Caenorhabditis elegans: one gene and its partners. The main gene of each other region encodes a partner of the protein of the gene in region 3 in a complex. Each region holds a gene or a part of one and is shown on either strand. Other genes may lie near its edges.

Region 1 (5,544 bases), on a different chromosome or scaffold from region 3:
CTGTGCGATGCGCTCCTTTTTTTGCAAAATTCGCAATAAATTACTTGAAGGTTTTAATAGCGGAGTTTGCTTCTTCCCGGCGTGATGCACAAGATTCGGAAGGGCGAGAGCATTTAGCAGACCGTCTTTTTTCGCTCGAAGTTCTTTTTTCAGCTGGGAAATCGATTCTTTATCGGCTTGCTTCCATTTCTGATAGGTTTCAAACCATTCGTCATATTCGTTTTTCACTTTTTCCACGTCTACTGTGAGATTTCTGCATTCCAACGCAATTTTCAGCTGATCAGTTTGCTCGAAGACATTCCTCAAGTCGACTAGTGGATCTACAACATGAACATCTGCTCCGCCGACGAAACGGGCGGCCAGATGGGACATTCTGACTAGTTGGCGGTAGGGAATCATATCTCTGGGACTTAAACATTTTTGCTTTTAATTATTGGATTTTTTAAGATAATTTTTAGATAATCAAATGATAGTTTTCTAACTTTCAGGCCTCAGAAAAAAAGTTTTGCGCCGATCAATTTATGTACAGAATGAGAATAAGTTGGTGTGTGAAGGAAGGAGTTAGGGCAAAATTGAAAAAGAGTATCGGGGTAGAAACATGGAACCGCTGGGGAAAAGTGTGGAACAGGGGATTGAAATAATATCCGAACTAAAAAGCCGTGTGTGTGTGGAAAATTAAACGTGAAAAATTAACAGAAAAAAAACAAACGAAAAAGAAACTAGGCAAATTAAATTTACAGCGAGTGAATGTACACATATACTACTTCACAAAAAAGTTATAACAAGGAGTTTAACGGTAAAATTTTTTAAAATTAAATTATTTAAACAATTGAAACGGCGACACTGGGACATCATCATGGGAATTCACTTTTTCGCAACAAAAGTGTCCTCTTCGTCCTCGTCGAAAACCTCTTGGCCTCCGTAGTGGTCGTAGTCTTCATCGTCGCCGAAATCCTCATCCATTTCATCGTCGTATCCCGAGTATTTGCGAGAAGAGCATCCCGAGATTCCGCGAGAGCGTTGCTTCTTGAGAGCCTTGCTTTGGCCGGCAGTCTTTTGCTTCTTTACAATCTCGTCTTGCGCTGAAAATTTGAGATTTTTGATAAAAAAAACTGTTAGTGTTTTGGAGGACATTTTCCCTATCGCGCGGCTTTTCGCAAGCCACCGCACGCTTTTTTTTTCGAACGAAAAAGCGAGCTGACTTTTTTTTAAAATTATCATTCTTTATCGCATATTTTGGTCGTTTATCCCAGAGTATTGCGTTAATTAAAGTATTTTTTAAGCCGATAGAAGCTCATTTTGGTCATTTTTAAATTTAAATGCACATTAATCAACGAAATAATGTGAGATAAACTATCAGAATGTGCAAACAAGGATGATAAATCGAACAAAGTCAATTTCCGAGCTTTGCAACTCGGAAAAGTTGTCAAAATTGGCCGAAATTTTGAACTTTTCATCACGAATTTCTTTCATTTGAGCTTGAGCTCCAGCACCCACACTTGGAACGGGGGACGGTTGCGATCGTGCCGGCGCCTCCATTGCTTCCGATGACTAGATTTGGTGGAGTTGTGGAGACCTGATCCTTCGCGGCCGCAGCCGCCGCCTTCTTCATCGAAGTCAGCGAGCTCGAGTCGATCGCAAAGCCGATTGGATCTTTCTTGGCCATTTCCTTCTCCGCCTGAACTTCTGGATCACTGTCATAGTCATCGTCGCGTGTGAATGGCATTGGCATTGTTGGGGGTGTTCTAGAGAAAAATGGGTTAAATAGAACTGAAAATTAAAACAAAGGAGAAGCATAAAATGGCAAAAAAGAGCCACTTGGATAATTGGTATATAGGAAAACGGCATAAATTCATAAAACAGGAAAATAAATGTAAAGCATTATAAAACCCATTGAGGAGTATCATGTTGGTATATTATAAATTAGGTGTGATATGGTGGACGAGTGTTCTGGTGTCCGTATTCTTTGAGAATTTCATCGAGAAGTTCCTCTGTGAGCGTGTATTTTGTGTCTTTCGTTCCTTTTTTCGTCTGTCCGAGACCTTTCATACGAGCCTGAAATTGTTCTTGTAAAAAAACTTGGATTTTCTTTTGCAAATTCTAAACCATACACTTGTCATCGCGTCAAGAATAATATCCGAAACATGTTTTTGAGCCGCCAGCGAGATCATTCTAGTCACTCGCGGATCCGATCCATCAACACCGGCAGACTTCAAGAAGTGCAATGTTACAGAATCGGGAATCGTCGGCGGATAGTCGGCGAGCTGATTGATGAACTCGTGTGTGTCGTCTTGCGATGGATTTTTCTGAACATTTTCCAGCGTTTTCTGCACAAATTGTTGCTGATTTCCGGTGAGAGGCTTGTGCAACGACGATCTGAAATTATTTGTTAATAATTTTTGTCTTGTCATAATGTCATTAACCCTGAACAAAAACAAACCTTAAATTTTGAACAGATGGCTCAAGAGTGGAGTAAACTTGTGGAGCTGCTGCTGGCCGCTGAAAATACTTTAAATCGGTTAATTTTAATCAATTAAATCGATAAAAAACCTGTGGAAGTGCGGGTGGAGGCATCAGGACGCTTTCTGTCGACGAAGAAGGCTCATATTGCTCTGGATCATTCATTTTTGCTGAAATTCGGGAAATTTTTGAATTTTTTTTAGGTTGAAAGATAATTTAAAGCGAGTATTTCGTTGAAAAGTTATTACTAATTTGTTTAAACATATCTTTACAATAAAAATTCGTATTTAAAAGCTCAAAAAGTTCCCCCAAAAACCAATGGCAGCGGCACGAGGGTTTAAACTTTAAAAAAGTCTCGTGGTGCGGCGCTCCGCCCACTTGCAATGTGCGGCGCGCGTTTTCGTAATGCGTGCGCACACAATTTTGGTGAACGCTTTCGTGGCCCTTTTCTGGTAATAAGAGGGCTAAATCAAACAGAATTGGGCGAACGCACGTTGAAAATTTTGATTAAAATTAATTCTTCAATTAATTTAGTTTTAAAAATTAAAGTTTAAAAAGTTTTTACTATTTAATTCCCGGTAATCATCGTTAATTCAAATGTTTCTAGACAACTTTAGCGGTTCAAAAATCAGAACATGAATATTTCATCAAATTCGTAAAGTAGCTGTAATACGCTCCCAAATTAATATTTCAGGGAAATTTTAGAAAAAAAGTCTGTATTATAGGGGCAGAGAGAAACTGTCCAAAAACGCTCCGCCCCCGAACCCGCGGGTCTCGTTAGGTATTCGGCGGCAAAACCGTAAATTCAAATTTTTTTGATTAGTTGCGTAAATTTCGCTAATTTTCAAGCATTTGCCGTTATTTTCAATGAATTATAATGTAAAAATTGATTTTAAAAAAAGCAAATGGTCAATTTCACGTGAATTTTCAAACATCGTTAATGTTTTGGCAGAAAATTCTTTAAAAACAACGAAAAATGCTTCAAAATTGCCAAAATCCCGAAAATAGTTGAAAAAGTTTGAAAAAACCGCTAAATACCTAACGAGACCCATGGTTCAGGGGCGGGGCGTTTTAAATTGGCCGTGGAGCGCGTTATCTCTTGTGATTTTCAGCGACCCAAAACTTTAGGTCTATACCACTCTGGCAGCGTATATCTCGGTTCATTTGGAAAGAATCAAAAAATTATTAACTAGAAAATTTTAGATTTTTAATTGATTAGAATTTTGATTTTTAGTGTACTTTCAATCAGGGGTGGGCGGCAAATTGTCGGTTTGCCGATTTGCCGGAAATGTTTGGTTCCGGCAATTTGCCAGCTTGCCGATTTGCCGGAAATTTTCATTTTTTGGCAAAGCGACCATTTGCCGTTTGCCGGATACCCATTTGGCGGAAGTGTTGAGAGGGATCTATTTTTAAATCGGCAAACCGGAAATTTTTGCAGATTTGCCGAATTTTCAAGAAAAACCACAATTTGCCGAAAATTTTCGGCAATTGCCGTTTTTCAGCAAATTCGGAAAATCGGCAATTTGCCGATTTGCCGGACATTTTTGAATCCGGCAATTTGCCGATTTGCGGGACATTTTCAAATCCGGGAATTTGCCGATTTGCCGGACATTTTCGATTCCGGGCATTTGCCGATTTGCCGGTCATTTTCAAATAAGACAATTTGCCGATTTGCCGGGCATTTTCAAATACGGCAATTTGCCGATTTGCCGGACATTTTCGAATCCGGCAATTTGCCGATTTGCCGGAAAAATCTTTTGCCGCCCATCCCTGCTTTCAATGCAAATTATCAATTTTCGAAAAAAAAATTCAAAATAAAAGTGCAGTGACGTCAAACAATTCTCTTGCAACTATAATTATATTTCGAGAATTGGTGCAAAAGCTGTCATTTTCATGATTCTGCGATCTAGCAGGACTATAAGTATACTTGCGTCATGCCTCAGCTCTGCAAATTGGTGTCAGGCTGTCCCATTATACTTTGATCTACAAAAAATGCGGGAACATTTCTCCCAAAAAAAAATTTGACGACAGCACGTTCTTAATCGTGCGAAATCAGTTGAGATCTCCGTGTCTTGACTCCCGCATTTTTTGTAGATCTACATAGATCAAACAGAAATGAGACAATCTGTCACAACGTGCAATTAGGGAAAAAAAGGAACTCTGATGTCTAACACAAAATCACTTTATTCAAAATTAAAACTGGAAAATTAGTATCATGAAGGATGAGATTATCATATCTGCAAGAGTATCTGAGTCGAGATGGACGTGTGGGAATTAATCATTGGGATAAACCGGGTCAAGTCTTTCTGCAGGAATTTCTAATTTTCAGCATCCATCTGTGCATCCGTATCGATCTGTAAACAAATCACATTGTTCCAGTCTTTCACATTCTATAAACGCACTAGTTTATCCCACATTCCCTGATAGTCATTTTGAGGAAGACTACGGTACATGCGACGTGGAAGAAGACGAGATCCACCGATCCGAGACCTGGAATATTGTGGTGAACGGACGTTGGGCAACGGCTTAAACCATGCGGCGCTGCGATCGATGCGTGATTGGGCTGATGTGACATCTGAAAAGTGGAGTTTTGAATTGGGACATTGTTTGGCGTTTAGAGCTTTGATTTCATTTTAGAGAGCCAACTTTGGCTAAGTACACCCAGTTCCCGATATTATTATTATTACATAGACGTCTTAACATGAGACTTTCCCCCATATCTTACTCCCTTGGGTCTCGCCACGCAGACTATGCATTACTGTATCTGGTGTTGATTTTTGGGCCGCTATTGTTTTATTTTCTTCAAACTGATATGGTTCTCAGGTTTCGACGCGAGCGAAAAGTTTTGCACAAAATTTTAGACTTAGGCTTAGGATTAGGCTCGGGCTTAGGCTTAGGCTCAGGCTTAGGCTTAGATTTAGACTCAGATCTAAACTTAGGCTTAGGCTTCTGCTTAGGCTTATGCTTATCCCCCAAAGTTTAGGCCTAGGCTTAGGATTAGGCTTAGGCTTAGGCTTTGACTTAGGCTTAGGCTCAGGCTTAGGGTGTGCGCTTTTATGGATTACTATCGCTTGCCACATTCTG
Region 2 (7,080 bases), on a different chromosome or scaffold from region 3:
AGAATTTGCGATTTTTGAAACTTTCAAGTACGAATTTTTTAATTTTTTTTGTTTTGGTGAAAATTGAGAATTTCGTACAAATTTTGATAATTTCGGGTCGAAATTGTTCTTTTTTTACAAATTGGAGAATTTTCAACGCGTTTTGGCAATTTTTTTGCAAAAATTGACATTTTTACAAAAATTTCGGCATTTTTTAGTCAAAATGGATCATTTTAAAAGATTTTTGGCATATTTTTTTGAACTGTGGCAATTTTAATAGAAAATTGATGAATTCTCACGAATTTCAGCAATTTTTCGGTCAAAATTGGTCATTTTTCATAAGTTTTGGCAATTTTGACAAATATTTGCCAATTTCAAGTCAAAATTACTATTTTCCACAATTTTCTATGCTAAAATTGAAATTTTCATCAAAATTTGGCGATTTTGGGCCAAAATTCGTAATTTTATCCAAATTTTAACATTCTTAGGTCAAAATTTTGCCGTTTTCACGAATTTTGCACTTTTTTTCACATTTTCATCCATACCAGCATATACAAAATGCTCATAAGTTCTCGTATACTGTGTGGGAATCCATCCACAACCTCTTCCATTCGAAAATTCTTCCAAAAGTTGATCTTTAACTTCTTCTCCATCTAATATCACATCATTTTCCCATTCAATTACTTGATATGGTAATAGAATATCTTCTGATGTTGAAGCTTCACAACTTTTATCAATTACTTCCACTTTATCCAAGAAAGGGGCGGAGTTTGGGGCGGGGCCTGATGACGTGGATGGTAGATCATCCGGGGTACGGTAATTGAGCGGTTTTCCACTTCGAATTGATACTTTTTGAGGAGATTTCTGAAATTGTTAAAAAATTAATTGAAAATTAAAGTTTCGAGAGGAAGTTTTTGAAATTTTGAGGAATTCAGCAATTTTTTCCGATTTTTCTACAAAAAAAAACTATAGAAATTAGTGGAAAACGATAAAATTTGATTATAAAATTGACAAAATGAGATGAAATTGTCTAAGATGACCGAAAATTGTCTGAAAACTCATGAAATGCTGTTTAAGCCGTGAAAATAACCGGAAAATTGTCGGAATTGAGCTGGAAATTATATTTTTCAGGAATTTTTAGTTAAAAATTATCAAAAATTGACTGAAAATCACGTTTTTCAACTAAAAATATATTGTTGAGTGAGGCTCACACTACAAACTACAACATTTTCTAGCCTCAACCAATTTTGGTTGAGGCTCACACTACAAACTACAACTTTTTTAGCCTCAACCAATTTAAGGTGAGGCTCACACTACAAACTACAACATTTTCTAGCCTCAACCAATTTTGGGTGAGGCTCACACTACAAACTACAACATTTTCTAGCCTCAACCAATTTAAAGTTCTCAATTTTGGTTGAGGCTCACACTACAAACTACAACTTTTTAGCCTCAACCAATTTAAAATTCTCAATTTTGGTTGAGGCTCATACTACAAACTACAACTTTTTAGCCTCAACCAATTTAAAATTCTCAATTTTGGTTGAGGCTCATACTACAAACTACGAAATTTTCTAGCTTCAACCAAATTTTTTTGAGCAAACTGTGTCAAATTTGCGCTTTTTTGGTAATTTTTTCAGATTTTTAGTGCGATTTTTAGGGTTTTTTTTATTGAAAACTTCAATTTTTGGCGAATTTCAGCCATTTTTCAGCCATTTTCAGTGTATTTTTTACCAGGAAACTTTAATTTTGATCATTTTTAGCCAATTTCAGCCATTTTTAAGTCAGTTTTTCAAAGGAAATTCCATTTTTTTGAGCAATTTTCAGCCGATTTTCTGCAAATTTTCATTATTTTTACCTTCAGTTTGAATCCATAATTAACAGCTTGACTAGTCATCGGCAAATTCATCATATCATACCAAATCTTGGCGGGACCCGTTCTCCACGGCTGAACTACCGTACCCTCTTCATTTTTCTTTGCCATTTCCTCTGCATCCGTCAGTATCGGTCTCCGCATTCGTTCTTCTTCATCGTCAGCCAACATGACACGTGGCACCTTCTCAATGATGTTAAGCTTCAGCTTTTTGGCTCCAACGATGACGTCATCAGCGAGGGGCTCTTCGGGCTCTTTTTTGCGTTGATGTTTGGAGAAGGTTCGGGAAGCCCACCAGATCTCGGCACGGGACGTATGTTTGATATTTTGAGCAAAAAGTCGAGAGAAACGAAGAGTTTTGTTTGGATTGAAGTCTTTGAAGAAGATTCTGAAAATAAAATTAAAGGATTTTGCGGAAAAATGGGGGTTTTCAGTGATTTGCGTGAATTTTTGGCGAATTTTCGGAATTTTTTTGGAAATTTTAACAGAGAATTATGGAATTCTAGAAGAAATTAGCAGTTTTTAGCAATTTTACATCAAAATTTCGAGTTTTTCGGCGAGAAAAACCAGTTTTCAGGGGAAAAATGACGGGTTTCAACCATTTTTTTTGGAATTTTTGCAGAAATTGGCCAATTTTCAGGCTTTTTTTGGCTTTTTTGGCTCGAAAAAAAGGTTTAACAATTTTAAAGCAAATTTTCGAGTTTTACATGAGATTTCTGATGGCTAGGAAAACCATGGGTTTGTGTGGAAAAATTGTGGGTTTTTTCGGGGAAAAGTGACACGGGTTTCAACGATTTTTGAGTGAATTTTTGAGTTTTTTAAAGGAATTTTTGCAGAAATTGCCAATTTTCGGGTTTTTTGACTTAAAAATTGTGTATTTGTGTGTTTTTATGAAACTTCATTGGAAAACTGACTTTTGGAGCAAAATTCGAATTTCAATTTTCAATTTTCGAATAAAACAAAACCCAACATTTCAGTGAAAATTCGATTTTTCCAACAAAAATCGTCACTTTTATTCGATTTTTGCGCGAAATTCGAATTTCGGCAAATGTTTGCCAATTTTTTGAAATAATGGCGCTTTTCATGCTTAAAAAAAGTGAAAATTTGTTTTTTCCAACGAAATTAGAATTTCTATCAATTTTTCGAGAAAAAAAAATGAAAATTTTACTGAATATTCGATTTATTCAACAAAAATTGAAAAAAAAATCGTCACTTTTACTCGATTTTTTTTCGAAAAATTTTGAAAAAAAAATCCCATTTTACGATTTTTTGTCGAAATTTTTGATTTTTCCAGCAAAAACTCTTTCCAAATCGACTTTTGGCGGGAAATTCAAAAAATTTCAGTTTTCAATTTCAAGGGCAAGCAAATTTTGCGGAATTTTAAAAGAAAATTATGGAATTTTGGAAGAAACAGCACGTTTTGAGCATTTTTGGAATACTTTATTCAAAAAATGTCATTTTCGAGCAATTTTCAGAGTTTTTAAAATAGATTTTCCGAAGAAAATTCGAATTTTCGGGTGATTTTATAAAAAAGTTTGTAAAAATGGAAAAAAAAATAAAGTTTTTAGAGAAAAATGAAATTTTTTTTAATGTTATTAAATTAAAATTTGTCAATTTTTATACCACACACATCTCATACTACACATTACAGGATTCGGCAGGAAATGAAATTTTTTGTCAAATTTCCCAATTTTCAGTGATTTTTGATAGAATTTTTGAGTTTTTCGTGGAAATTTCCGGTAAAAAACGTCAATTTCAACAGAAATTTGTGGTTTTCAGTACCTCGGATCAATTCCATCAAGATCCGGATGTAAAATAGATGAAAGTGGTGCATCATCTCGAAGTGATGGTCTTGCAAATGGTTCCATATCTTCTAATCGTACAGGATCACCAATATATTCTTCAAATTCTTCATTTTTTTCCACTTTTGGCTCCATTTTCACACTTTTAGAGCCGCCATTAGAAGCTGACGAACATGCTGAAAAAATGAAAAAAATGAAAAATTAGTGAAATTCCAAAGTTTTTTTTTTCGATTTTCGCTACCTTCATTCCGTGCTGCCGGATGATTTTTGTAGAAATCCGAGAGATTAGCGTAAGGATCCTCTAGATCTTCTTCATTTTTTGGCTTTTCCGTTCGATACCCATTTGTGTGATGATGTGTATTGTTCATTACTGGAAAAAATTACAATAAAAAATTTTGAAAAATATTTTAAAAACCTGGAGATTCACGAATTTTTCAAGAAATTTTCACGAAAAAATTGAATATTTTCTGAATTTTCTGCTCAAAGTTGCTCGATTTTGAGTTTTAGAGATTTTGAATTTTGAAAATTCATGAGTTCTGTCTATTGATATTCTTTAGAAAATTTTCAGAGAAAAAAAAGAAAACGGAAATTTTGAAAAATTCGAAAAAAAAACCATTAATTTAGTCTCAAAATTGAATTTTTATTTAATTTGAATTTGAAAATCGATAAAATTTCCATTTTTCCGAATAAACAATGAATCAAAATTGTGCAAATTAAGAAGAAAACACCAAAAAATGCACAGACTACAAACTACAACATTTTCTAGCCTCAACCAACTTTTGGTGAGACTAAAAACTTGTAGAAAATTGGAAAAAATTACGATAATAACTTTAAAAATAATTCTAAAAACCTGATGATTCACGAATTTTTAAATTTTTTCACGGAAAAAATGGATTTTCTGCTCAAAATTGCTCGATTTTGAGTGAAAAATGGATTTGGTTGAGGCTCACACTACAAAAACTACAACTTTTTCAGCCTCACCAAAGGTTGGGCGAGGCTAGAAAATGTTGTAGTTTTTGTAGTGTGAGCCTCAACCAACTCCGGAAAAACTAATTTTTTGGGGAAAGTTCTCAGTTTTTTGAATGAAACTCGAATTTTAATTATTATTTCTTCAAATTTGATTGATTTTCGCATAAAAATTAGACTTTTCAAGAAAAAAAATGAAATTTACAATCATTTCGCTGAAAAATTTAATTTTTCACCGGGAAAATTCATTTTTCGACTAAAAATGTTATGAAAATCTAATTTTTTCAAAGTTTTTCGGCAAAAAGTTGAGTTTTTTCTGACTTTTCGGCTTAAAATTGCTCGAAAAATGCATTTGGTTGAGGCCGACACTACAAACTACAACTTTTTAAGCCTCACCAAAAGTTGAGTGAGGCTAGAAAATTGTGTAGTTTGTAGTGTGAGCAACCAAGTGCGGAAAAAATCTTTTTTTTGTGGAAAATTCAGAATTTTTGGAATTGAAACTCGAATTTTAATTATGATTTTGTGGAATTTATTGGATTTTGGCATTAAAAAATGAAATTTTTGAAGAAAAATTCATGAAATTTGCAATTTTTAGCAGAATTTCTGACTGAAAATTCAAAATTTCGCTTGAAAATTCAATTTTTCGACTGAAAATTGAATTTAGCGACTAAAAATGTGATGAAAATAAGTTTTTTCCAAATTTTTACAGCAAAATTAGAGTTTTTGAATAAAAATTGTTTTTTTCTAAATTTTTCTTCGAATTTTCACTTTTTATTCGGTTTTTACCGATTTTTAAAACAAAATTTCTGTTAAACGTTGGTTTATGTGAAAAAACGTTTAAAAATTGAATTTTCAGCTAAAAAATAGAAAAACTATTAAAAAAAAAAATATTCAAGTGCAAAATTACACTTTTTCGAGGATTTCCCCCCGAAAAAACCGGAAAAGAATAGCGAAAATAGGAAAGTGAGAAATTCATTTCAAATTATGGGAAAAAAATGACAAAATTATGGAAAATGATTCAATTTTTTCAACAAAAAAAAAGATTCAATTAAATTGATTGATTATCTGAGAAAATTCGAGAGAAAAAACAATGAAAAATGGGCAAAAATACAAGCGAAAAATGGGAATTTTACCCGAAAATTGACACGAAAATGGGGGGGGGGGGGGGGGGGGGGGGGGGGGAAATGGGGATTTATTAGGGTTAAACATGGTAAAAATTGACTAAAAATTCAATTTTTGGGGGAAAAATTCAGATTTCTATGAATTTTTACCCAAAAAACTCGATTTTTTTCACAGAAAATTAGAATTTTCCACTGAAAATCAGCTCTACATCCTCTGTTGCTGCAGTTGTCCCATCAATTGTCCGAGTTCAGGGCTTGATTGGAGCCCCGAGACGTCTGTAGACATATCCTGAAGATATTCGAATTCTGCCAACGCCGAACGCTCGTTTTTGCCGAATCTGGAATAAAAATGGGTTACAATTGACTAAATTTGAATAAAAATTGGAATTTTCCGCCTAAAAATAGCTATTTTCCACCGAAAAACTAGGAAAAATCATGAAAAATATGCGAAAACCCATAGAAAATTCGTCCTTTTATACGCAATTTGAGCGGCGGACGGCTTCGCGGGTTCCGCCAATCACCATGTTTTGCGTGGTAAAAGGGGCGAGTGATTTTAGCGGAAAATTGTTGAAAATTGAATAAAAATAACAGTTTTATCCAATTTTTAAGCAATTTTCTTCTGAAAAAAGCAAAATTCTCCGTATTTTTTGGGTTTTTTCCACAGAAAATAGCAATATTCTTCGTTTTTAGAGGTTTTCACTAAAAAATGATGAAAATTGATTAAAAATAACAGTTTTATCCAATTTTTAAGCAATTTTCTTCTGAAAAAAGCAAAATTCTCCGTATTTTTTGGGTTTTTTCCACAGAAAATAGCAATATTCTTCGTTTTTAGAGGTTTTCACTAAAAAATGATGAAAATTGATTAAAAATAACAGTTTTATCCAATTTTTAAGCAATTTTCTTCTGAAAAAAGCAAAATTCTCCGTATTTTTTGGGTTTTTTCCACAGAAAATAGCAATATTCTTCGTTTTTAGAGGTTTTCACTAAAAAATGATGAAAATTGATTAAAAATAACAGTTTTATCCAATTTTTAAGCAATTTTCTTCTGAAAAAAGCAAAATTCTCCGTATTTTTTGGGTTTTTTCCACAGAAAATAGCAATATTCTTCGTTTTTAGAGGTTTTCACTAAAAAATGATGAAAATTGATTAAAAATAACAGTTTTATCCAATTTTTAAGCAATTTTCTTCTGAAAAAAGCAAAATTCTCCGTATTTTTTGGGTTTTTTCCACAGAAAATAGCAATATTCTTCGTTTTTAGAGGTTTTCACTAAAAAATGATGAAAATTGATTAAAAATAACAGTTTTATCCAATTTTTAAGCAATTTTCTTCTGGAAAAAG
Region 3 (6,541 bases):
GTTTCTTCAGGATGCCTACAATTTTTGACGATTTGCTACAGTTACGACTTTTAGTTGATTTTTTGTGAAAAATTCAAAAATAGATTTATTTTGATCCTCATCCCTAGAGGAATCCTATCTCATTATTGCAAAACCGCCTAACCTAAAATCAATGCGTCGTGGAAGGGGTAGAGAATCGAACCAAACCGTCGATTCCCACTAGACGAAGCCCTCATCCACCCAACCATCGCCGCCGACTCGTTTCGCTGTCGTTGGCTCCACATAGCACGAGAAGTTCTCCAGTTTCAACACACTTTTCGCATGCATGTGCTTGCTTTTTCCCCCGTTTTTTTTTCGTTTCGTCTTTGCTTTTTTCTCTTCGTTTTCCTTATTCTCCAGAGCACATGCACACACGAAGTAACACAACAGAGACAGAGGCTCCGGGCGCCGAGCGCCGAGCCCATACACCGACCGGCGCCTGGAGAGCACAGAGAAGCCAGCCTGTTGCACTTCTTTTTTGCAGCTTCTGGCTCACAGAGCACATCGAACCTTATACTATTATTTCTACTGTACGATTTTTGAATTAAAAAAAATAAGTTTTGTAATTGAATTTTTTTTCCAAACTTCTATCTCGTTTTAATATTTTTAGGGTGTTAAAATATTCATTCTTACCAGAATATCCAACATGATTACTGGCAAGAACATGAGTCACAAGTGATTCCACGAATTCCCAAATGTTGTCCTGATACTCAGAAGTGATCTGAAAAAATTGAATTCATTCGGATACTATGAATCTTTATATTTTCAAAAAACTGTTTGCGCAAAAGTGAGCGATCTTATAACCATGTGTTTTTTTTTTGTATTTTGACGAAAAATTAGTTTTTGGAAAAAAATCCAAAAAAAACTATTCTACATTTTTCGCGGATATTCTTTAGCAACATGTGATGTTTATGGTTCTAGTGTTGTTTTTTTTAATTTGAAACTTTGAGACCCGAAGAACTCGGGGGATGTCCAATTGGGGGGATTAGCAACTCGGGGGATTGGCCCCGCCCACAGAACCGTGGCTTGCAATACGCCCATTTCTGCAACTGCCGCACGGTTTTAAAACTGTATTTTTCTCAATAGAGCGAGAATTAACAAGAAAAATAATTTTAAAACCGTGCGGCAGTTGCAAAAATGGGCGTATTGCAAGCCACGGTTCTGTGGGCGGGGCCAATCCCCCGAGTTGGTAATCCCCCCAGTTGGACATCCCTCGAGTTCTTCGGGTCTCGAAACTTTTGCTCAAGTTTTTGAGTTGTTACGGATTCAAAATAAATTAAAATCGACTTTCTTTCTGGTTTTCTTGTGTTTTCACTAATTTCAATTTCTCTTTCGGAGTTTTTTCACTAAACCTTTAAAATTTCAGTTTGTTTGTTTTTTTTAAATTTTCCTAGTCTTTTGGCAAAAAAATTTTGGAGAAATTCTACTAAATTCGAAACTTAATTACTTTTTTAAAAACAGAATTGACAGTGAGATCGAAATCCGAGTTTTGTCGGGTTAAGAAATATTCTTTTATATCTGAAAATGTAGAAACCAATGAAATACCTTTTCAATATCTTTTTCATTTACTAATCCAGCAATTGATGCAATAATATCAGCTGGAATCATCTAAAACGATAAATTTCAATCTGAAATGTTATAAATTTGAAATATGAATAAATATATTACAGAAATTATCAGAAATTCAATTTCGTAGATTGAACAACAACTATTTTAATACTTTATTCTCAATAATACGGGAGAAATTTGAAAAACAAGAGGAAAGTTGAAAAGAACATTGATAATGTCACTTCTTCAAAAAAAAATAACATCAACAAAATTATACAAGGTACGGGGAGAAATGGTGAGCAGTAATTAATCGAAAGCTTATTGAATTCGAAACGATTTTATCGGATTGGTAGACTGAAGAAAGTGGTTCTAAAGTGCATAGATGTCTAAAATGAAGCTACTTTACCTGTATTATACGAGATCCGGGTTTAGGGATAAGGGAAGGCTTAAAATGAAACAAAAATTTGAAAATAAAGAAGAATGAAAACAATTTTAATAAAAGAAAGTTATTTTTTGAATCCCTTCAAGATTGGATAAATCTGCCCGAATGCTTCGTCAATGTCCCTCTTTGTTTTTGCTCCAGTGATAACAACCTGAAAATTTAACATAGAAAAGGTTATTTCATAACTTAAACTCACTTTTCCAGACACAAAAATAAGGAGCACAACTCTTGGTTTGACCATACGATAAATTAATCCAGGGAACAATTCTGGTTCGTAAGTACTGAACTGAGAGTGAGTAATGCACAATCCTTCAAGTTGAATCGGAAAACGAACATCACAAGAACCAACCATGTTTTGAACCTACAAAAAAATTATTCAAATGATTTTGTGACCTTTTTCCAGAAACACTTACCATAAATTCGGTAAATTTCGCCTGAAATCCCAACTTTTGAACAATTCTCGCATATTTTCGTGCTGCCAATCGACTTGCTTCTTCTGACTTCGCACCAGTGCACACCATTTTTCCACTCGAAAAAATTAAAGCAGTTGTTCTTGGTTCACGAATTCTCATAATGACTGCTGCGAAACGTTTTGGATTGTATTCGGCGTTTCTCGCGTGCAATGCAATCTTCTTCAAATCCAATTGAACTCCCAAATTGACTGTAGAGACAATGTTCTGAAGAGCTGGCATCGGAATATCCAATTGACTTGCTGGAGTTGCTGGAACCATTGTGGCAGCGATGTTACTTGCCGGAGCCTGATGTGTCAGAGCATCTCGATCATATACAGAATATGCAAGTGGTGTCATTGGAACTGTCAAATTCTGATATGCAACTGATGGAGGATTGATGTCCAAATTGTGATGCATAACTGATCCAGGATTACGATCAGGTCCGACTGAAGCTGGATTTATGTTCAAGTTGAGATTGGAGTTGGCGAGATGTGAATGCATTTGCATTGAAGAACCTTGAAGGCCTGAAATAATATAAATCTTTAATTTTGACAAACGGCTTTAAGACTGAAAAAAGGTTATAAAGTTGAAAGACTGGTCACGGCTAAAATAAACGTGCACAGAGAGTTCATCAGATTTTTTCATAAATTTTTTAAACTGTACAATATTAAAATTTCGAAAAAAAAACGTATTAATTTCGCTTAAATCTGAAATTTCGCTAACTTTTCCTTGTCGCATCAGTTAGGATACAGTTTTTTTTAATTAGTGTATTTTATTGAACAATTTATAATTTTATAATTTAGTTGTTTATCTCGCTTCACATCGTCGATTCAGTCCCATTTATGATCGACATGCCAATTATGTTCATTTTTAGACGCCTAACGACATAAAAATTTGCCGAAATTAACGAAAAACTAACAAAATATTCTATAAAGGGTGATAATTCAAAAAATCTGTAATTCAGCTGCTGTGATAGAAGTCTCGGGATTCAGCAAAATTCTGATTTCTTGTTAATTTACTTTTTGTCATGCCATAAAAAATAGTGAAAATTTTATGAGCAGTCTCTTTAAAAAAAATTAGTTAATTTTGGGCTAGTTTTATCCTTTTCAAGCAAAAACCCTGAAATGAGTTTTCCACAAATAACTTACTGTGCATTTGTTGTGATTGCATTGGTTGAATTGATTGTGGATTGAGAACACTTCCAGGTCCAAGAATCGAGTTTGGTCCCATTACAGAGTTGGGACCGTGTCCCGTGAGAATTGATGAGGGTCCTTGACCTCCAAGTACGGAATTCGGTCCACCATGTGCAGGGGTGTCACCGCCAAGCATTGATACAGCTGGGCTGTTAAGGTTCATTGTGAACTGTAAAAATATTTTTAATCAAAAAAAGAAAAATGGATAAGAAATTGGAACAAGATATTTAATTTAAATATGATTTCAGTGAATAAAACACTGGAATAATTATTTTAAAAGAAAAACAACAGTACTATTTTGAAAATTTAAAATATAAAAACGAGAAAACGGAAAAACAACAACAAAAGTGGAACAACAATAACTGTAACAAAAAATCTGATTAAATTTTCCATAAAGTTGGAACATCGATGATTGGAACTTGTCTATCAAGAATTCCTTTCGGCGCTTCAGAGTTCACACCGACTGCTCTTGTGACTTTTTCTTCGTGTTTTGGAGCGAATTTCCCACCAAATCCTTTTCTACGAGCTTTCTTCGGTTCCGGCTTTCCTGTTCCCTCTTCGTCTTCATCCCCGTCTTGCAGTTTTCGATATTTTTCAGCTTCTCCATCCTCTCCGCCAAATGATTTTGCCATGTTTACAGAGAATAACTCGTCGGTGCATCGGAATCGAACGTAAGACTCAATTTTTTGAATCGATTTATCAACGAAATGAGCTCGTTTTCTGACACTTTGATTCCAGTGACATTGAAGAAGTTTCATCTCCCAAAGACTTGATTCCAATGCGCGAGTTTTGTGTAAATCTGTCTCATCATTGTCGAAAGGATCATCGTAAAGAGTCTGAGGAACCTCACGATGAACCAATTCAGAACAGTTTGGATGTCTAATCACAAGATTTCTAATTAATCCAAGAATTGGTTCCTGAGCATCAATTGGAGCAAGAAGAAGGCATCGGGAGAGTCGTTTGAGGAACGAAGCAGTGATGTATGTTGGGAGATGGCTGAAAAGGTATGATTCAGAATAAATTTTCTAGAATATTGCAACTCACGTAGACGACAGGAAACTATCCAGAAGTGTCAGAATGGATTCTTTCTGACTCATATAGAGAAGAGATGGGTTCGTCAATGAATATACTTTGTCGTAGAATTTCGGATATTCACTGAAATAAAGATTTATATGAATCTATTTCAAATAAAATCTCTTACAAGTTATGTTCTGAAATAAGACGAAAAATAGCACCAAGCGAAAGAATTCCATGATAGTCAGTTTTGTCGAACATTTTGAAAAAGAAATCAGCAGATTTGAATGGTGCTTTCAATTTCGAAATGACGTTCTGAGTGATATATGGAATAAGTTTCAGTGTCAACTTGTCACTAATTTTTCCATTCATAACAGCCATCCAAACGTTGTCATAGTCAGTTGAGATCCATGTCAGCTTTCGTTTTTTCATACTTTTATCGTTGAATGGAGTTCTGACACAAAACTGGCGAAATAATGGTTTCGTCACTCGATCAGTTGGGTGCGGGACGAATGAAAGAAAATTGAACAGGTTGAACCAGGCGGTGGTGCGAGTTTCTTTTAGGTGCTGAAAATGTGTGATTCGTATAAACAAATACAGATATTTTAACTCACCGTTATAGACTTCACAAGCTCCGGGGAGATTAAGTGGAAAATATCATATCTTCCAAAAATTTTAGCGATTCCTCTGAGAACTGGACGCTGAATTCGCTTCGTGCCAAACAAGTATTGAATGAAACCGGTTACAGTAAACTTTAGTGATTTTGTAGAAACAATATCTCCAGTTTTTGCGTCTTTTTCGAAAAACTTTATCGTTTTAAAGTATTTTATGATGTCATCCGGATATTCGCATTCTTGCAAAAATTTAGTGAATTCTGCAACAGACTTGCTTTTGGGTTCTTCCCTCTCCAACTCATAATTGACATCGACATTGTCAGGCGCTTCATCTTCTGAGCCATCATCCGAAAAATCAGCCTGAAAAGGTTTTGGTAAGATTTACATGAGATTTTGCTATTTCTTACATTCTGCTCCGCATCATCATGGAAAAATTGGTCCAAATCGTCGTCCATTGCCCTGAAATTATTTGATTAGCGACGATTGCTATAAAAATCAGAAAATTTAGACATTTTTGAGAAAAAAAAACGAAAAAGTATGAATCCTTGTGAAATGTCGTCAGGTGTCATGTTTGCGTACAAAGTAATGCTCGGTGTTCACGTACAATCGAATACCGTAGTTTATTGTTTTCGCTTCGGCGCGCCAAAAATAATGCAACACTTTTCCCAATTTTTCTTCTAGAATCGATACGAATCTGATGATAATTATCGAAATCTTTTCGTTATTTCTGTTTAAATTATAAATAATCATATTCAATCTCTGGTAATGAGTATATTGAATTCATGAATTCATATTGCAAGAAACCAGAACAAATTTCACCGAAAAGAGGGTTTATTTTCGTAATTAGTTTCGCTCGGAAAATCGATATTTTCTTTCAGTGTCGCTACATTCTGCTGGAGTATACTTTCTGAAGTCTCTTCTTTCGATTTCTTCCCTCTCTCTCTCGTTAACTAGACTTATTGACAAACAATTTTCAGAATGGCTGAGCTCCAATTCCCGGGAGTTTATGTTGAAGATGTAGGTCATTTGGCGTTCGGAACACTTAAATTGACTGAAAAATCACTCAACTTCAAAGGCGATAAGGGTGGAAAATCAGTTAATGTCACGGGATCCGATATCGATAAACTGAAATGGCAAAAACTTGGCAACAAGCCGGGACTACGAGTCGGTCTCAACGATGGAGGTGCTCACCGCTTCGGAGGATTCAAAGATACTGTTAGTTTTTTGTTCATTTCATTTTGATTTGTTTTTAGTTTCATT
Region 4 (10,025 bases), on a different chromosome or scaffold from region 3:
TTCACTCAATCCTATTCCAAGATCCGTCTTCAGTTGAGTGGTCCATGCTTGATTTGGTTCTGGGGTGCTTTGTACATTTTCATCGTGATGAGTCGACACATTAGGCGTCTGCTCCTCAGCCAAAACTGATGATTCACTGAAAATTAAATTTTTAATAATCTAAATACAGGGACAGAACAACTTACTTTTGGAAGAAACCATCTTCTTTCTCCGGCTGATGCGAAGTTTCTGGCTCGAAAAATACTGGCGCTGCTGCTGGCTCTTCTTTAACTGGTGCAACTGACGGAAGTGGAGGTTGTGGGGAGAGACTCCTCCTTGGCGGAGCTGCTGGTTGAGGATTCTGTGCCTGGTGCTTTCGGAGTGCTTCTTTGCGATGGGCAGCTGCTGCTACTGCAGCAAATGAGATCGGTGCCGGCGCAGAAGATGTGGGAACAGTGGCGGTGACGGATTCCTCTACTGGTGGTTGAACTTCGGTGACTGTGGTATCCACTTTAGTCTGATTCTGAAAAAAAAACACGTTTCGTCATTTTCCTTCTTCAAAAAATTCTTACCTCATCAAGATCAGCAGTGAACGCATCTGGCTCAAGTGCTGATGATGGAGCAACAGCTCGAGAATATCCACCTCTGGCGCCACCTCTTCCACCTCGTCCAACATACGGTTTTTCAAATCCTCCTCGAGTCGAGCGTGGTGCTGCTCCTTCCTTATTATCACGGTTATCCCGATTATTATCTCGGCTTTCTCTTGGAGCTCCATTGGATCGCCCGCGGCCTCCTCGATCGACGAAACCGGTGCCTCCACCTGAAAAAAACATATCAATATTTGATCTATTTCAATCAAGCACGAACCTCTGCCTCTTGCTACAAATCCTCTGTTGTTATAACTGCCCTCTTCCGGCTTCTTCTTTTCCTTTTTGGCTCCTTTCTGTTCAGTCCACGAGTCAAGTTTATCTCCAGCATCCAGAATGTGATCGATTGCGCCGTAAAGATTGTTGTCAGTATCCAATAGCGCTATCTCAGCTTGTGCTTGTGTACATCCGGTGGTTTCGATAATCTGAAAATGAAAAAGACATGAGCAGTGAAAAAACCCCTCTTGGGAATGCGCGAACACTTTAATTAGCCCAAATGAGTAGGACATCTGGGTACTCTTACTCTCGCTGCACCATCTCAAGCGCGGACACCTGCTTTTGTCCTTTTATTTGCCATCTGGCCCCGTCTTATCGATTCGAAATTCCTATTGACACTGAAAGCGGACACTAGAGAAGTTCAAAACAACAAAGTCACGTGCGTCATCATGTCGGTGTGTGGCGAGCGTTCGCGTGATGCAAAGATCACTATTTTCAGGAAAGCGTCATTTCCAGCTTGGAGACTTACCGTCTTGATCATAAACTGTATGTCCTCCTCATTTCCGGAATTTCCTTCCAGTGTGAGTCGTGCAAGTCGCGCTTGATCGCTGGTAGCTTTTTTGTCGCCTTTAATACCCATTCTGAAAACAAATTATAAATAAAAAGGGTCAGTCATGTGAACGCAAGAATGGAATGAGAATCACGAGAATACAACTATCAAAGGAAGGTTGAATGAAAGGAAGGTCAAATAGATGACAAAAGTAGGAAAAGAACGAAATATGGAACCTTCCAGATCAAAAAAACATTATCAAAAGAAAAGCCTCGCACAGAAGACTCTAACGAACATGTTAGGATGAAGAAATATTTCAGCAATACATCACGTTGAACTTTGGAGGATATTCTAGAGAAGAAAACCCCTACATTTTACAATAATTTTGAAATGGAATTCGAATGAACTGCTATACAATGGAGAATCCTATTTAGCGATGATAAAGTGTAGGCTTGTTACTAGATTGAATAAAAATTTCGAAATGTAACAATACATTGACTGAAAATTTGGGTATTTCAGAGTGTGATATCACAAAAATCAATATTTCCACTAAACTCAAAAGTTCTTACGCTGAAAAATCATTAAAAAATTGAAAAATCACCGCAAGCTAGACTAGAATCGCGTTCAAATCTCGCAAATTCCCGCAGTTGAAAATGCGGGCGACCGCGACGCGAGCCGCAACGCACCCCTCCAAACATGCGGCATGGGTCTCGCCACGACCGAAAGTACGGTCACTCTTGGCAGTATAAAAGGCGACCATTTTCCGCTATTTTCCGGTAAATTTTCAAATGAAACTGTGTTGCGGAGGGGGTTTTCCGCTAATTTTGCGGAAATTTAGCTATTTAATGTGAAAATGTGAATAAAACAAAAGAAAGTGGGGAGGAATAGCAAGGAAACACACTGTTGAACCCTGGGAATTATCGATTTTGTATGAACTCTTCTTTTATGGCGTCGAAATTATCGACACGAAAACTCAAAACCTTGTCACATTTCTGAGAGAGAAATATCATTTTCAGCACACATGAGTCTTCCCAGATTTCGACTCGTTCAGGGAAAGGCGATCGGCGAGCGATCAACGCCAGGAGTCAGCACACCAGAGCCGGTAATTGTTTTTTTTTATTTCAAAATTTCTACAACAACAAAAAGAACTAACAATAATTTATTCCTTTGATTCCAGGCCCCTCCGCAAATAAAGCAGGAAGTCGACTACCAAGATGCTCATCAAATGGCTCCGGAACCCGTGGAAGCACCCCGTAAATATTTAAAAATTTAAAAAAGTTAGAAAAAAAATTTGAATCCCAATTTTCAGAGGCTCAAAACCATCAAATGCAGCCGCCTCGTCAACCTATACAACAGCAGATGCAGCATTTTCAGTCACCATCGCCAATGGCTCCACAAGGGCCGCCCGGGACTCCACAAAACTCTGCAGCGGCGGCCGCCGCTGCTTCAGATGACAAAAACGTGACAAAATGCGTCCGCTTTCTGAAAACTTTAATTAATCTGTCGAATAACGATGATCCAGAAATGCCGGACAAGGCCGCCCGTGTCAAAGAGCTAATTCGAGTGAGGAATTGAGCGAAAAACGCGATAAAAACCGGACAAATTCGGATATTTCAGGGCGTAATTTATCTGGAAACGACGGCTGAAGAGTTTACACGAAATCTGCAACAAGTGCTCAAATCTCAGGCTCAACCGCATCTTTTACCATTCCTTCAGAATACTCTTCCGGCATTGAGGAATGCTGTTCGAAATGGTTCGGTTTTATGTGCAAAAAAATTAAAATCGACAAAAAAAAAATCATCGAAAAACAGGAAAATTTGAGTTGAAAAGCAGCGAAAAACTTGAATTTAACATAAAAAATTGCAAAAAATCCGTTGAATTACATTTTTCAAGAAATTGTGTAGAAATTCCATGAAAAAAATTCAAAATTTCCAAATTTTTTGGCTATTTCTAGTCAATTTCTTTAAAATTCCATTTTTGATAGCGAAAATTATCAAGTTTCTAACAATTTCAAGCTGTTTTTGGTGATTTTTTCAATTTTTCGGCTTTGAAATTCCATTTTCCGGAGTATATTGTCATAATATATCCGAGTTCCACAAAATTGAGCAAAAAAAATTAAAAATTTCCCTTTATTTAAAAATATTTTCAGCTGTCAGTAATATATGGATTTTCCGCAATTTTTCTCACAATTTTGAGCAAATTCCTGATTTTCAGCCAATTTATAAGGATTTTCACCCATTTTCATAATTTAGGGCTATTTTCAGCTGAAAAATTGTAATTTAAAGTTTTTAAAATTTTTATAGATTTTCTCAAATTTCAGCTCAAAAATTCGATTTTCAAGCGCATTTCCAGGCAATTTATTAAGATTTTCACCAATTTTTTTAGCTTAAAATTTAAAATTTCCACATTTTTTGTCTATTTCCAGTAAATTTCTTTAAAATTCTATTTTTGAAAGCAAAAATTATCAAGTTTATCGCACTTTTTCAATTTTTCCGGAGTATATTTTGGTAATTTATCCGAGTTCCACGAAATTGAGCAAAACAATTATTTAAAAACTTCCCTTTATTTAGAGCTATTTCCGCAAATTTTCTCGCAATTTTCACGCAATTTTCATAATTCAGGGCTATTTTCAGCTGAAAAATTGCAATTTAAAGTTTTTAAAATGTTTATAGATTTTCTCAACATTCAGCTCAAAAATTCGATTTTGAGGCGCATTTCCAGGCAATTTATGAGGATTTTTACCTATTTTCTAGATTAAAAATCTTTTTTTTTCCTCAATTTTGGACTATTTTCCCTAATTTTCAAATTTCCAGGCACTGCATCAGTTGAAGGCGTAAATCCACCGCCTGGCTACGTTTTCAACAATGGAAGAACCCCAGGACCCCCTCAGCCACCTCCACCTCAACAACAATCCCAGCAGCAGCCACCACTAGAAATGCGTCAAATTCCGAATCCGAATCAAATACCCCCACAAATGGTTCAAGGGGGTCCCCATATGGTATCTGTAGGCGCCCGGCCAATGATCAGGCCTATGGGCCCCGGCGGCCCAAGCCCAATGGGCCTACAAGGCCCCGTACGAGGGCCGATGGGACATCAGATGGTCCAGATGCATCCTCCTCCCCCACCACAGCAGATTCAACAGCAGCACCCGGCTCCCCCTGTAGAAATGGAGGTGGAAGAGAATTTACAGCCTACCGCGGCGGCCACGGCCACGAGGCAATATCCTGAAGGATCGCTGAAATCGTCGATTCTGAAGCCGGATGAGGTGCTGAATAGGATCACGAAACGAATGATGTCATCGTGTTCGGTGGAAGAGGAGGCGCTTGTCGCGATTTCAGATGCTGTTGAGTCGCATTTAAGGGAACTTATTACACTGATGGCCGGAGTTGCAGAACATCGGGTGGAGAGTTTGAGGTATTGAGGAGAATTGATTTTGCTTCAAAATACGGCAGCGAAAAAAAAATTAAGCAAAAATAAGGAAATTATTGAAGAAAAATCGTCTTAAAAACAATTTTACATTAAAAAAAAAGATTTTTAAATTTCAAAGGTTCCGAACTATTTATTAAAAAAACATCTAGATTTTGTTTTAAAATCCAAACAAAAAACATTGCTGAAACGCGGTAATTTTTTTTCAAAAAAATATAAAAATCTGAGAAATATTTTCAAAAATATCTCCAATTTTCCCCTGATTCCGAATATCTATTCGAAAAAATTCAAAAAAAAAATTTCCCTTTATATTTCAGCTTGAAATCGCTTTGTGCATGCACACCATGAGATTTTTCAAATGCGCGCCCAGATAAATTCTCATTGGGGCGCACTTGCTTCGTGTCGATTTACGGGAGCTCTTCATTTTTAAATTTCTTTTAAGCTTTTTTTTTCAGTTTTTCAACGAGTTTCCTTGATCTTCGTCGATTTTTTGTCATTTTTTTTCCTGAAATTTTGTTTTGTGTCAATTTGAAAATTTTTTAGGTCAAAACTCCTGTGTTCGTCGAGATCTGACGTAAAAATATAAAATTCCGGGAGTTTTGAGATATAAAAAAAATATTTTAAAAATTTCAGAAAAAAAACTGACAAAAAAGCGACAAAATAAAAGAAACGCGCAAAAAAAAAAAAAAAAAACTTAAAAAAGCACGAATAAATTTTTTTAAAAAATGGAGAGCTGCCGTAAATCGACACGAAGCAAGCATAAAAAAATGGCTTTTTTCCTAACAATTTTTTGTGAAAAATCCGAATTTTCCATCCTAAACACTACAAAAGATTCCAGAATTCCGGAGAACTACGTGGCAATTGATGACGTCAAACGGCAACTTCGATTCCTTGAAGATTTGGATCGTCAAGAGGAAGAATTAAGGGAAAGTCGAGAAAAAGAGTCGCTAATTCGAATGAGCAAGAATAAGAATAGTGGAAAAGAGACGATTGAAAAAGCGAAAGAAATGCAACGACAAGATGCTGAAGCGAAAAGGAATCGAGATGCGAATGCGGCTGCAATTGCAGCACTTTCCAGTAATAAAACTGTCAAGAATAAGTTCGTTTTTAGCGTGAAATTTGCAGAAAAATTATTTTTAAAAAATAGATTTAAAAAAAACAATTTCCTGACCAAGGGTGTCATTTTTCGATTTTTCGGTTTTCAAAAATTCGAAAAATGAAAGTTTCGTTTTTCGATTAAAAAACTGAAAAACCGACACCTTTGTTTCTGAGATTTGGATTTAGAAATAAGCAAAAAAAAATTATTCAGAAAAAATTGTTTTACAATGCTGCAAAATCGATGAAAAAATAAAATAAATCAATAACTAATTTCTAAAAAATGGAAAAAAATTTCGTTTTTTTCGAATTTGTATTTCACAAAAAAAAATTTTTAGAATAAAAATTTTCAATTAAAAAATTACTATTTAAAATCACTGAAAAAAAATGAAAAAAATAGAAAATTCAGAAAAATAGCGAAAAAAAAGTTTTTTTCCAGAAATTTCGTTAAAACGATCAAGATTTTAACCCTAAAATTTAGATAAAATCAATTTCTTGTGGTTCTTAATTTAAAAAAAAAAACAGTACTTTCCAGTAATAAAACTTTCAAGAATAAATTCGTTTTTAGTGCGAAATTCGCAAAAAAAATTACGAAAAAGTGAAAATAGAAGCTGAAAGGAAAAATGTTTAAAAAATAAGAATATTTTCGACATTAATTGGTTTTTATATATATTTTTTTGTAGAAGTTTAAAAAAATTACTAAAATCACTGAAAAAATTGAAAAAAATTTTAAAATCTGGAAAAAAAGCAACAAAAAATTAATTTTTCCAGAAATTTCGTTGAACTATTCGGTATTTTAAGCCTAAAATCAAGATACAATCAATTTGAACAAAATTTGCTTTAAAAATACTAAAAATTCGAAAGAAATAGAAAAAAAAAGAAATTTTCGAAATTTGGATTTATTGTTAGAGAAAAGCTGAACACTTACAAAAAATTAATTTTTTACGTTTTGAGAAAAATTTTTGAAAAAAAAAATCGATTTTTAAATAATTTTTAGAATTTTTTAGAACTATAATTTTTGAATTTCAGTGACTTATAATCACAGAAAAAAATGAACGAAAAACAAATGAACATCTTTTCGGCAAAAAAACGTATTTTAAAAAAAAATTTAAATTTCTAGTGACTTTGAAAAAAAAACCACATTTTCCAATAATTTCCAGGAATAAACTAAATTTCTTTGGAGAAATTTGAAATTTATTTCACATTTCGAAAAAATTTATATAGAAATAAAAATTTATATGAAAATAAAAAATTTGCAGCTCCTTCCAGTAATGAAACTGTCATTTGTTGAAAATTAGTTTTTTTTTAATTTAGAAATTCTCTTTTCGAAAAAAAAGGTTTTTTTAAAACTTGATTAAAAATTAATTCATTTTTTTCCAAAATTAGGGAAAAAATAATTTCTAAAAAATTAGACAAATACACTTTTTTGTTGAAAAAAACAACATTTTCCAATAATTTTCTTTTTTTTTAAATTGCTTCCACTAAATTCACTTTTTGAAGAAATTTTTTGAAATTTTTACTGAAAATTGTTGGAAAATTATTAAATGTGCATTTTTTTGCAATTTCCAGTTGATAAACTAATTTCGGTTCAATTTAAAATAAATTTCGAAAACCAATTTCAAAAAATTCATTTTTTACAATTTGTTTTTGTTGATAAAACGAGCTAGTTTCTACCAAAATACCGCTTTTTTACATTGAAAATTTAAATTTCAGATGGGAAAACACGGGCGCCGCAACGACAGCACCTCGTCCACGAACAGTACGTGTAACAACTCGTGATCTACATCTTTTAGTCAATCAGGATAGCCGATTCACAGGGTAGCGATTTTTTTTGTTTAAAAAATTTTTTTAAAAAACACCGTATTAAACATTGATTTTTATTGGAAAAAACTGATTTAAAAATTTTTCAAAAAACTTTCAAACGAATGGTAGTTTTTAATATTTTAATTTTAAAAAATTCCAATAAAAATCAATTTTTATACGATTTAAAAAAATTTTGAAAAGTTATCCAATTTTCTCCTAAAAAAACTCATTTTTTTTCCAGAACATTCATCCGTGAAAAGATGTCATACGGTGGTCCGGCAGTCGATACAACTATCTGAACTAAAGAAATCTCATGGAAAAAGGAGCGAAAATTCTGCTTTTCTCGTTTTCTTTTTTTAAATTTAATTTTATTTTTCCACAAATTAAAACAATCACTTTTTTCCAGTCAAATAATAATTATTTCTCATTTTTAAACGAAATGCTAGACATAAAAAAAAGCTTCTTTTTCAGCTTTTCAGCCAAAAATTTCAGATTTTTCAGAAAAAATTCAACAACAAAAAATTGGCAAAGTGCAAAAAAACCAGAATTAGATATTAAAAATACAGGAAAAATCGAGAAAAATGAGTTACAATTCAGAAAATTAGGCAATTTTTTTTTCAAAATTTCTCAAAAACACTGAAATTTCGGTATTTTTTTCTCTACTTGAGCACAACCTCGTGTTGCACCAATCGAACATAGTCTTTGAGCGTCGGTGGAAGTGGAAGCTCATCGATTATTCGCTGATAGACACCGTCGGCACCGGCGATTTCCAGATTTCTACGTTGGCGAAGGTGGATGGCGCGCTGGAAAAATTTCTAATTTCGAGCTGAAAACTCTTTTATGAAAGCAAAATTTCATAGTTTCAATTCAAAGTTCGAATTCCTCGCAAAATTTCAGTCGGAAAACCGAAAACTAGAAGTTTCTTGCTCGAATTTGAAATTTCGAGGGGTACGGTATCCTCGAAAGTACGCAAACACCGAATTTTGTTTTTTTGAAGTTTTGGCGCCAAAAATACAATACCCGGGGTCTCGACACGACAAATTTTTAAAATTTTTTTGAGTACTGTAATTTCAAACAAAAAGTTTTTTTTCGAATAAACTCGAATAATACGATAAAAAACATATTTTAATAAAAACCGTGGCAACGAAAGTTTGAAAGTACAGTACTCTCTTCAAAGGCGCACACCTTTTACGCATTTAACTTTCGTGGCGAGACCCCGGGGATACCGTAATTTTTGACTCAAAATTTAAACAATAAATCCGTTAAAATATTAAAAAATTTTTAGATATTTTTCAAAAAGACTGTCGAAAAATTGTTTTTTTATAATTTTTAGAATATTAACAAACAGTTTAAAAATTCCAACAAATTTTGTTTTTCATACCGAAAAGAAGAAAAATGGACAAAATAGTAAGCTATTTTTGTGTGTCAAAGTGTCTTATTTCGGCTTGATCTACGTAGATCTACAAAAAATGCGGGAGAAGAGACTCAGAGTTCTCAACTGATTTCGCATGGTTAAGAACGTGCTGACGTCACATTATTTTAAGGCGAAAAAATCCCGCCTTTTTTTGTAGACCAAACCGTAATGGGACAGCTTGGCACCACGTGACACCCCCCGATTCTCACCTGTTCGTGATTTTGGCGAACTGCCATTTCTTTCAAATAATCGTCTAGCGGGGGACTCGATGCTGAAAAAAAAGTTTGATTCGTTAGAGGAGCACAAAATTCTGAAAATGCGTATTGCACAACATATTTGACGCGCAAAATATCTCGCAGCGAAAACTACAGTAATTCTTTTTAAATGACTACTGTAGCGCTTGTGTCGATTTACGGGCATCGATAGAATATTTTTAAAAAAGAAGAAAAAAGAGGGAATAATACGAAGAAAAAAAGGAAAAAAATAAATTCATTTCAGAAATCGAGTTCGTAAATCGACACAAGCGCTACTGTAGTCATTTAAAGAGATACTGTAGTTTTCGCTACGAGATATTTTGCGCGTCAAATATGTTGTGCAATACGCATTTTAAGAATTTCCAGTTTTTTCAAACCTTTAAACTTACATTTTCGCGGTTTTTTGGCGCTCTCGGATTTCGGGGAACGTATACGTCGGCGACGTGACGTGGTTGAAGCAGGGTCCGTCGAACAACATGGCTCTTCGTCTTCCGATACTTGGGATTCTGTTGATGTTGACGGTGATTCCTGAGGTTCCTCTAGAGCATCTGAAAGCTCTTGCTCATCTTCTGATAAATCTCCATTGGGACGTTCAACCAGGCCGGTGGTGGAAGGATCATTGATGTTCGGAATCATTACAA

Evidence for each region.
Region 1: tbp-1 (region 3) and taf-10 share a complex: the UniProt entries of both Caenorhabditis elegans proteins name them as parts of the TFIID basal transcription factor complex.
Region 2: tbp-1 (region 3) and taf-1 share a complex: the UniProt entries of both Caenorhabditis elegans proteins name them as parts of the TFIID basal transcription factor complex.
Region 4: tbp-1 (region 3) and taf-4 share a complex: the UniProt entries of both Caenorhabditis elegans proteins name them as parts of the TFIID basal transcription factor complex.

What each region holds. Positions count from the first base shown.
Region 1 is NC_003283.11:4,684,195-4,689,738, reverse strand, and holds taf-10 (Transcription initiation factor TFIID subunit 10), read right to left. Parts: upstream 2,637-5,544; 5' UTR 2,626-2,636; coding exon 2,551-2,625; intron 2,509-2,550; coding exon 2,441-2,508; intron 2,377-2,440; coding exon 2,112-2,376; intron 2,056-2,111; coding exon 1,924-2,055; 3' UTR 1,840-1,923; downstream 1-1,839. Other genes in the region: K03B4.1 (Seryl-tRNA synthetase), read right to left, coding at 45-399; K03B4.2 (HUN domain-containing protein), read right to left, coding at 865-1,082, 1,498-1,732; nssp-51 (Neuropeptide-Like Protein), read right to left, coding at 4,779-4,814, 4,863-5,035. UniProt on the Caenorhabditis elegans protein: The TFIID basal transcription factor complex plays a major role in the initiation of RNA polymerase II (Pol II)-dependent transcription.
Region 2 is NC_003279.8:13,858,418-13,865,497, reverse strand, and holds the start of taf-1 (Transcription initiation factor TFIID subunit 1), read right to left. Parts: upstream 4,025-7,080; 5' UTR 4,023-4,024; coding exon 3,896-4,022; intron 3,831-3,895; coding exon 3,635-3,830; intron 2,241-3,634; coding exon 1,838-2,240; intron 844-1,837; coding exon 525-843; intron 1-524. Other genes in the region: W04A8.6 (ANK_REP_REGION domain-containing protein), read right to left, coding at 5,947-6,079. UniProt on the Caenorhabditis elegans protein: The TFIID basal transcription factor complex plays a major role in the initiation of RNA polymerase II (Pol II)-dependent transcription.
Region 3 is NC_003281.10:7,381,314-7,387,854, reverse strand, and holds tbp-1 (TATA-box-binding protein), read right to left. Parts: upstream 3,823-6,541; 5' UTR 3,817-3,822; coding exon 3,609-3,816; intron 2,985-3,608; coding exon 2,422-2,984; intron 2,370-2,421; coding exon 2,205-2,369; intron 2,160-2,204; coding exon 2,073-2,159; 3' UTR 1,731-2,072; downstream 1-1,730. Other genes in the region: Tetratricopeptide repeat-containing protein trd-1, read right to left, coding at 652-739, 1,564-1,626; T20B12.3 (nucleolar complex associated 4), read right to left, coding at 4,034-4,649, 4,698-4,808, 4,855-5,234, 5,282-5,641, 5,689-5,736; hmg-4 (FACT complex subunit SSRP1-A), read left to right, coding at 6,260-6,496. UniProt on the Caenorhabditis elegans protein: The TFIID basal transcription factor complex plays a major role in the initiation of RNA polymerase II (Pol II)-dependent transcription.
Region 4 is NC_003279.8:380,420-390,444, forward strand, and holds taf-4 (Transcription initiation factor TFIID subunit 4), read left to right. Parts: upstream 1-2,406; 5' UTR 2,407-2,413; coding exon 2,414-2,494; intron 2,495-2,569; coding exon 2,570-2,645; intron 2,646-2,701; coding exon 2,702-2,955; intron 2,956-3,009; coding exon 3,010-3,145; intron 3,146-4,205; coding exon 4,206-4,806; intron 4,807-5,656; coding exon 5,657-5,917; intron 5,918-7,626; coding exon 7,627-7,731; intron 7,732-7,957; coding exon 7,958-8,015; 3' UTR 8,016-8,145; downstream 8,146-10,025. Other genes in the region: Prion-like (glutamine/asparagine-rich) domain bearing protein pqn-59, read right to left, coding at 1-136, 186-502, 552-799, 847-1,051, 1,372-1,482; R119.5 (Protein-L-isoaspartate O-methyltransferase domain-containing protein 1), read right to left, coding at 8,376-8,519, 9,340-9,401, 9,774-10,025. UniProt on the Caenorhabditis elegans protein: The TFIID basal transcription factor complex plays a major role in the initiation of RNA polymerase II (Pol II)-dependent transcription.